Linked DNA regions of Lytechinus pictus. The protein of the gene in region 2 binds, or shares a complex with, the protein of the main gene of each other region. Links are inferred from orthologs where the notes say so. Each region holds a gene or a part of one and is shown on either strand. Other genes may lie near its edges.

Evidence for each region. The genes of interacting proteins can lie anywhere in the genome.
Region 1: the proteins of kinesin-like protein KIF15 (region 2) and KIF-binding protein-like are in contact, whole or in part, in a cryo-EM structure (PDB 6ZPH), measured with the Homo sapiens proteins. The link is inferred for Lytechinus pictus from reciprocal best matches to the Homo sapiens genes KIF15 and KIFBP. Residues at the interface, in NP_064627.1 of Homo sapiens: Leu187, Glu189, Ile191, Lys192, Lys193, Arg231, Glu232, Arg235, Arg271, Met280, Arg281, Leu282, Lys283, Glu284, Ala285, Gly286, Asn287, Asn289, Arg290, Leu292, Ser293, Gly296, Gln297, Ile299, Ala301, Val303, Asp304, Val305, Gly306, His312; in NP_056449.1 of Homo sapiens: Lys26, Tyr33, Lys36, Ile106, Glu109, Ile147, Ser150, Glu151, Glu153, Thr208, His209, Tyr212, Tyr213, Gln216, Gln219, His220, Phe224, Gln238, Glu248, Trp249, Ile251, Asn252, Thr255, Gln258, Phe259, Asn262, Tyr415, Val416, Thr417, Glu421.

The regions. Positions count from the first base shown.
Region 1 is NC_087247.1:22,972,788-22,977,069, reverse strand, and holds the start of KIF-binding protein-like, read right to left. Parts: upstream 2,413-4,282; 5' UTR 2,132-2,412; coding exon 2,066-2,131; intron 335-2,065; coding exon 217-334; intron 1-216. UniProt on the Homo sapiens protein: Activator of KIF1B plus-end-directed microtubule motor activity. Required for organization of axonal microtubules, and axonal outgrowth and maintenance during peripheral and central nervous system development.
Region 2 is NC_087246.1:69,478,086-69,482,367, forward strand, and holds the start of kinesin-like protein KIF15, read right to left. Parts: upstream 2,767-4,282; 5' UTR 2,647-2,766; coding exon 2,640-2,646; intron 810-2,639; coding exon 770-809; intron 1-769. UniProt on the Homo sapiens protein: Plus-end directed kinesin-like motor enzyme involved in mitotic spindle assembly.

The DNA.
Region 1 (4,282 bases), on a different chromosome or scaffold from region 2:
CGTACTGCAACATTTACAATATAGGCCTACTTAAAAGAAATTAAGGCTTCTTTTCCAGACTGATTTTGTACAAAATATGATCCTTTTTTTGATAGTTATGAATTGAGGAACTGGATGGATTTGCTGTAATGTACCTTCATTTCATAACACACATGTTAAAAGTTCAAAGTCTTCAAAAACATTCATTTCCATACTTTATTTTTATAACTGGTTTACCTTTGGATTCCTCGCCCTGCTCGCTGGCATTTTCTAATTCTTTCCTTATTTCATGAAGCAACTCCCTGGCTTGATACTTTGATTTATAGGGATTGGTTTCTGGATCTTTCTTGGATGCCTGTTCATAAGAGAACATAAAACACAATGACAAACATAACAAAATTTTCTGAAAAGTAGATCAAGACTACCAGGGGTGTGAGTGGTCACAAATAAAAAGATCTGAAAAAAGCTGAAGAGTGTTGAAAAAAGTCAGAAATAGAAAGAGCTCCCATACTTTTTGTACAGAGGAAGGCCAAAAATATGCTGAAATTAAGCTGAAAAAAAAATAATCTGAAATCAGATAAAAATCTGAACTCTCACATCCCTGACTACTCAATACTTTTCAGGCAAGCTGGATCAGTTCTTCAGACTACATTGCCACAAAATATGAAAGCCCTTCAGTAAGTATGCCACAATTGAAATCTGATCGAAATTTGAAAAAATATCAATTTCTTCCAAAACTAAGGATGAGCTGTTTTAGGATTTAACAAAAAAAACTATGGTGTTCCACGGATGCACACCTATTCATTTCTTATACGCTTGTCAGTGGGGTGAATTGTCTTGTGATTTTCTTTTTCTTTTAAATAGACTTCTAGTCATGATTTTTTTTGGTGAAATCAGTTCCTGTTTAGTGCAGTTTAGATATCACAAATTATATCTAAGGTAAAAAATTTTATTTTAAAATATCTGTGGATTTTGTACAACAGTGCTTGAAAGTCTGACTACTCTGGCAGCTTTTCCCCCACCATATTGAGGTCCCAATGCCCCCTAGAGCGAGTACCTCTTAAAAAATTGCATTCTTTTGAGTTTTGGCTAGATCTAAGACTCATTATAGTGAGTGATTGTATTACTGACCGGCCTTGTATTACCGAACACGCGCATCGTAGCGTCAGAAAATAATTTCATACGCTTAAAATTTTGCAACATTCTTCCAAAGGGAACTTGAATAGAAAGATGATGAAAAATGGTCAAAAACACATTTTCAAAGTATTAATATTCTAAAAATAATAAAATATGGTGAAAATAGCTCATCAGTAATTTTGTTGTTTTCTCAACTTTTCCCATAGAAAACACACGTTCGGTAATACGATACCTTTTTCAAGTGACCAAAATATTTCACATGCGAAGAGGGGTCCGATTGGAAGCTAATATTGAAAAAAGGAAAACCGATTTCGGCAAAAAAAAATCATATTTATATTTTGTAGGTAATTGTGCATTTATGGTGAAAGTTTGGTAAATTTTATGAGAATAATGTGTTTGATATGATTGAATTCATGAAGTGTTCGGTAATACGATCCACTACCATATAAAATGTTCAACTTTCACTTACACTACAGGCTTGGAAGTGGACTGACAAGTTAGCATTCTTTTTCAAATATCACATTCATAGGTATTAATAAACAGGATCAACAGTTGGTTACTGAAATAAGCAAAATATCTGTGATTTTAGATTCCCATCAGGCATCTGGCATTGTCTGCATGGGAAAATCGTGAACTTTTGAGTTTTGAGTTTGACTTGTTTAAAAAATATAAGCATTTCCTCTTATCCCAATAAAATATAGTAAATCTCACATTCAACTTCGTGCAAATTTTTGTATTAAAAAAAAAGAAGACCGGAATTTACTCTTTTACATGATACAAAACATTTTAATAAAAAATACCCAGGATTTCAGCACAATTCAAACTTAGGCAGGTCTACTAACACAAAATTGCACATATGGGACCGATCACGTACACGTTCTTTCTATTCGATGTAAGCTGTAAAATTTACTTTTCAAACCTTTTAATGAATAATGTGGCTTTCACTCACCTCTTCTGAAAGTTTTCTCGCTTCTGAATACTTTTCAATCAAATCAGTGAACTGTGAATCTGACATGATGAACTGCTCTGTCTGACTTTCGTAAATCAAAAGTACTCTGGAGTCTGGGCTGGCGTGGACGCAATTAATGCACGATAATCAGCATCCGCGTTTAATAACTATGGTAGAGTTTTCAATGATGCAGTAGGATTAAAGGTGGATAAAATTAAATAAGATGCATAAGCAGGGACAACACCCCCCCCCCCCCACACACACACACACACACACCATCCACGTCCAAAGGGTAAACTCGTCCTGTAAATATGACAACTATAAGTTTTGTTTTCAAACTCGCTTATACTGCACTCGCAATATTAGGTTTAAGGCAAGGACGTTCCACAGTTAAAATGAAGTCCATGTCATTCTCACCAAATTTTGCAGAGAATTAATTTGGTATCTATGCATTATGAAAATGCAAAAAATAATATAGGTTCATGTGCTTATTTTTTTTCTATGGGTCTTCAAAGTCGCCGTATTTGAATGATATGCAATCTTTCGCAATCAAGAGAATTATGCATCTCTTAGACCTCACGAATTCACCATATGAGTTTAAATCATCTTAAATACTCAGTGGATATACCCCATCAAACTTCATCAAATTTTCAAGATATATAACAAAGTGTATACCAAAGTAAGAGAAAGTCTTTTAATTGGTAAAATTATATCTATTTGGAGTCAGCAGCGCCCTCATTTGTCAAAAATGGTGCAAAAACGCGGAAAAAACAAATCTTCAAAGACGTGAATCTACTCAAAAATTATAAAAAGTATTTTGTAAGCTGCACTTTATTCAAAATCCATGTCATTTTCATCAAATTCGGCTAAATTGTAGAGGAATGCATATCGAAGGTGTAGGGAAGTTAAGAATATGGGGTCCATGTGCTCGTTTTTTAATTATGAGTGTCCAAAGTGATGCGAGTTGGCCTGAAAATCGCCCAAAATGCGCCCAAAACGCGCAAAAGTCTAACAATGCCTTTTAAAATGCGAATGGTTCCGTAGTTTTGCCCCCAAACATTCAAAATCCATGTCATTTTCATCATACTCTCTAGATTTGTAGAAGAATTTATTTTGAAGACATTAAAATATTAGAAATATGGGGTCCATGCTTTTGTGCTCGTTTTTAAACTATTGGTGTCCCAACAGTGTAGCAAGTTGGCTTGAAAATCGCCTAAAAAGCGCCGAAACATGCAAAAGTCTCTCAATACCCTCTAAAATGCAAATAGTTCAATATTTCGCTCCCAAATATTCAAAATCCATGTCATTTTCATCATACTCTCTAGACTTGCAGAGAAATATATTACGATGACGTTAAGATATTAAAAATATGGGGTCCATGTGCTCGTTTTTAAACTATCAGTGTCCAAAGTGTTGCGAGTTGGCTTGTAACAGCCCCAAATGCGCCGAAAACATGCAAAAGTCTAATAATACCGTCTAAAATGTCTAAATTACAAATGGTTCCGTAGATCTGCTCCCAAACACTCAAAATCCATGTCATTTTCATCATACTCTCTAGATTTGCAGAGGAATATATTTTGACAACGTTGAAATATTAAAAATGTGGGGTCCATGTGCTCGTTTTTTAAACTATCAGTGTCCAAAGTGTTGCGAGTTGGCTTGTAACAGCCCCAAATGCGCCGAAAACATGCAAAAGTCTAATAATACCGTCTAAAATGTCTAAAATACGAATGGTTCCGTAGATCTGCTCCCAAATGCAAAATCCATGTCATTTTCATCATACTCTCTACATTTATAGAGGAATATATACTGAAGACGTTAAAATATTAAAAATATGGGGTCCATGTGCTCGTTTTCAAATTATCAGTGTTCAAAATATTGCGAGTTGGCTTGAAACAGCCCAAAATGCACCGAAAACAAGCAAAAGTCTCTTAATACCGTCTAAAATGCGAATGGTTCCGTAGTCTTGCTCCCAAACATTGAAAATCCATGTCATTTTCATCATACTTTGCACATAGATACTTTAGCACCTGAATATTCCAAATATGCTAAAATTAACATGGGTAAATGTGCTTGATTTTTTGCTATATAGCTTCAAAGTTAACCCAAAATGGATGATGTTCTTAAGAATTGCGCATCCGAAAGGATTTGGCATTTTTAGACCTCACGAGATCACAACAATGAGTTTAAAGCCCTATTACTCAGTCAGATTCCATG
Region 2 (4,282 bases):
GAACCTCGCGCGAGCATGACTCTGAACCGGAAGTGGTGATGACGACCCGTCGGAGTGAAAATTATCTCGTCTCGCGCATTATGAGATTTTTGTTCCTATTTGGGGTAGCGAGAATTCAAGAACACATCACAGTACATGGAATGATAATGCCTGTCAAATGACAATGACCAGTTGGGAGGTCTTTGTAGGTGAACCATCCTAAGTTTCGGAGCTGATGAAATGTTGCAAATAAATTGTTTGTCCAGGGTCCAGGATGAAAGTGCTGTTTTGATACACCAATATTTGACAAAGACTTCTTGGTTGCTCTTTGTCATGAAGAGCATTCGACAATACATTTTGTACATGCATGTATGTTCTTGAAAACTTTCTGCGTCGCGGTGTGAAAACATCCTATTGATAAAAATATATGCTTACTATCTTGTCTCCAGAATGCCTACTTCAGCTGTATTATAAGAATCATTCTGATCTCATGTTAGGCCAACAGTTATTTCAAGCTCAGTGTTGGCAATTGACATCATGGCTTTGGTGCTTAGCAATTTATCACACCAGCACAACACCAAACTTAAATGAATCTGGTCCCCACCTGAATCTCACAAGGTGCAGTGTTGAATTACACATGATAGATCTAATGTGATTTGGTTCATTTTTATAAACTCAAATCAAGTTATGGTCATTTGGTGCAAGGGAAGGCAATCTGATTCGTGCTTACACCAACACCAGCAATGAACTTGAAATCACCCATTGTAAGAATCAACAGGAGATACATTACCTTGCATTGTTGTTAGCTGGAGGTTGTCCCTTGTCCTTCTCTGTGAAATGAAACGAAAATCGAGACATAAGGACTTTAGATGTAGATGAATTAGAAATCTTATTGGGGAAAAGATAGTTCATACTTATCAGCCTGGCTATGAAAGATGGGGACTAGGTCCCTATCACTGCGTGCAAGATGACTAGCCGTTTGTGTAGGAGAAAGTAAAAACGTGATAATTCTGCAAATAGCAACTGGCTTTAAAACGCAGATTTTGAGACTGATACAAGCAAGGACAAAACAAGGAGTGAAATGTAAGAAGATTTGTTATAGATCATTTGTAAGGTCATGTTGTTGCATGAGTTTTTTTATTTGATGACACAAAGTGACACCTTTTGTCACTCAGAGTGTCAGAACGAGTTACCTGGCCAGATGGTTCGGGTAGGTGTTGCATAGTGAAGTGTAGTGGAGCCTACATGAACCATCACCTGAGGTACAGTACATGTTAGAATGAGGCATCACACATACAAGACATTATATCACATGACATTGGATTAACCCTATCCAGGTCGGGGGGGGGGGGGGCTCGGAGGCCCCCCTCAATGATTCGCGCAATATATTTTCGCCGAGCGAATTTTTTAGACCGCGCCGCTCGCTGACTTTTAATTTTCAAGTCTTGCGCAACTTTTGAGACCAGTTTTGCGTCACCCAGGTACGCGGTTCCGAGTGTATGTAACATTATGTAAGTGCATGTCAGACCAAAAATTGCTGAAAATGTGATTTTGTGTACAAAGTCAAAGCAAATTGTTTTTTCAATAAAAAATCATGAATGTATGATTATTTTTAGTTTCATATTTTGCTGGTCTAAATGTATTTATTTTATGCTGTTTATGATCTCAGAAGAGTCCCCAACAAATTTCATTGAAAAAACAATGAAAAACAAAAGGTCCAAAAAACAGAGAAATACATAAAAAATTGCAAAAAACAATATACATGTAATAGTTGATCTGATATCTCAATCCTATTCATGTACACTTGCTAAGAATACCATTAAGTTAATCATGTTTCTATACAAAAAAATAGAACATATGTATGGAGCTCTATTTAGGGAATTAGAGGGAAAAGTATGATTTTGCATACTAATTACGCATAATCACTTAATAGCAATTTACATGAAATAAATTACTACACAATTTTGTAGATTGTGTTCCACACAACCCACCTGCCAATTTTCAGCGCGATCGCGTGGCCAACAGCCGAGATCTCAAGGGGGGGGGGGGGGGGGGGGAGGATCGAGGACAAGGTCTAGATATAGATCTGGATCTGATCTATTTGGAGATTTTCATGAAATATCACATTCTTTTTCATAAAACATGCATTCTTCAAATCCACAAAGCACATTCAATATCTTATTTAGATTAAGCCAACATTACGCAATTCGCCATTATGCGTTTGCCCCCTTTTCAAATTCAATCCCGTGGCCAATGATGAACATGATCCCGCCAGTCTCTGGCTCTGCCATGAAAACGAAAAGTGCCCCACCAAAAACGGTAATTAAGCCTTCTATCCCCACAAGAAATCTCTGATCTGAACTGAGGTCTGAGCTCAGCTGAGACTGAGTGACGATGGCATTGTCCGGACAGTCAATGTCAATGTCAATGTCAATGACAGTCTCGACTCTTGTGCTCGCCGCCAGGCCACGGAAAGCCGCCTATGCCAGGCGGCTGATGGCGGCGAAGTCCTACCACAGGCTACCGCTGACTGGCAGTGGACTCTTGGATTTCCAGGCGCGGAGTTTTATGAATAAAAACAATCCTACAGAGATAATCTAAAGGTAAGCCAATACATTACATTCAGATGAACTATGCAGTAAAGTGACATCAAAACTTACTACTCATGTCAGTTCCGCCGTAAATTCATTAATGAAACTGAATTATGATGTTTATATTACGAACGTTTCTGCCAGGTCTGTTCGTAATTTGCCTCCAAAACGTGAAATTGAGAGCGCTAGCTACGGTACGATGATTTCCGAGCTAGCTAGTAAGTTGGGGCCGGGGGGCGGGCCGGCCGGGGACCCAATTAATAAAATAAAAGCATAGCCATGGGAACAGTGGCGTAGCTACGGGGTGGCCTGGGGGGCACGTGCCCCCCTTGAGATTTGGTGTGCCCCCCAGGTGCCCCCCTGAAAAAAATTGGCAGAGCAAAAAAAAAGGGAAGAAAAAAGGAAAAGAAGATGAAAGACAGAAGAAAATAAAGAAGAGGAAGACGAGTGAATGAAATAATGTGAAAGGAAGACTTGCAAAAAAAAAATCTTTCATGTTACTATATAAAACTTTTGCTTGCGCTTCGCGCCAGAATTGCCTGTTCGATGAGATTCATTTCTTGCTCAATAGGCTGATATGGAGCAAGTTTTGAAGTCGATATACAAAATACATTTTAGCTCGGACACGAACTTTCATCAATTTTTTTCATTAACAAATTTAAGTGCTCTAGCTGTAAAATATCCCTTTTATAGTCTACATATCAGCATTTTTAAGCTCACGCTGCGTGGTCAAATTGTTTGATTTGCCAAGTTCCTATTATCTACGTGTATTCCATAATGTTCCATTAAAAATGTATTCAGACTGCCCAGATTCTAGGTCTAAATCTAAAACATGCGCGATAGCCTGCATGTTCTTTATATTAAATTTACTAAAACTATCCAGTTTCACATAAGAATATCAATAATTGTCTGCTCACGCTTCACGATCGCATTATTAATGATACCCAATTAACTATATCCTATTTATGGTTTACAAAATATGAATAGAGTGTCCCGCTTTTAGGTCTAAAATCACAATTTTCTTCCTCTCGCGCTTCGCGCTCGCATCAATTGTTTAGTTACATACCTATCCCATTTATTAATACAAAAAGTGCTTAGAATGAAAATTTTTTATGTCGGAATGTAAAAAAAAATTTGCTCGCGCTTCGCGCTTTTCGCGCTCGCATTATTGAAATATATACCGTCTTCGTGGGTAACTGTCCTTAACAGGTCCCTTTTCGATAATGCTAGAACAGTTGATAAAATTTCTGCTCGCGCTTGGCGTTTGCAGTAACCATTTAGTTACATACGAATCTTTTTCAGGATCACACATAACATTGCCCAGAATATTAAATTTTCAGGACAAAATACATGAAAGTAAAAAATAAAAAAAAAATCGCTCGCGCTTCGCGCTCGCACTTTTTATAAGGCTTATGAGATTATTTCATGTTTATGTTGTTTTATAAGAATAAAAGTAAGAAGTGACTGATCGGGGGAAATATAGGCCCCGTCCCCTATTGGCGAAAGTGGGATCCGCCCTTGTGACACATACACAAACAACGGAAAAACTGGTGCCCCCCTGAAAAAGCAAGGACCCCCCTAGTGCCCCCCCAGGAAAAATATCCTAGCTACGCCACTGCATGGGAAGCGGGGTGCTGGGCACTGTCATAAATCTGGTCCGGGCAGTGGGGGGGGGGGGGGAATGATAGCAATATAATGACTAAAAATTCAAA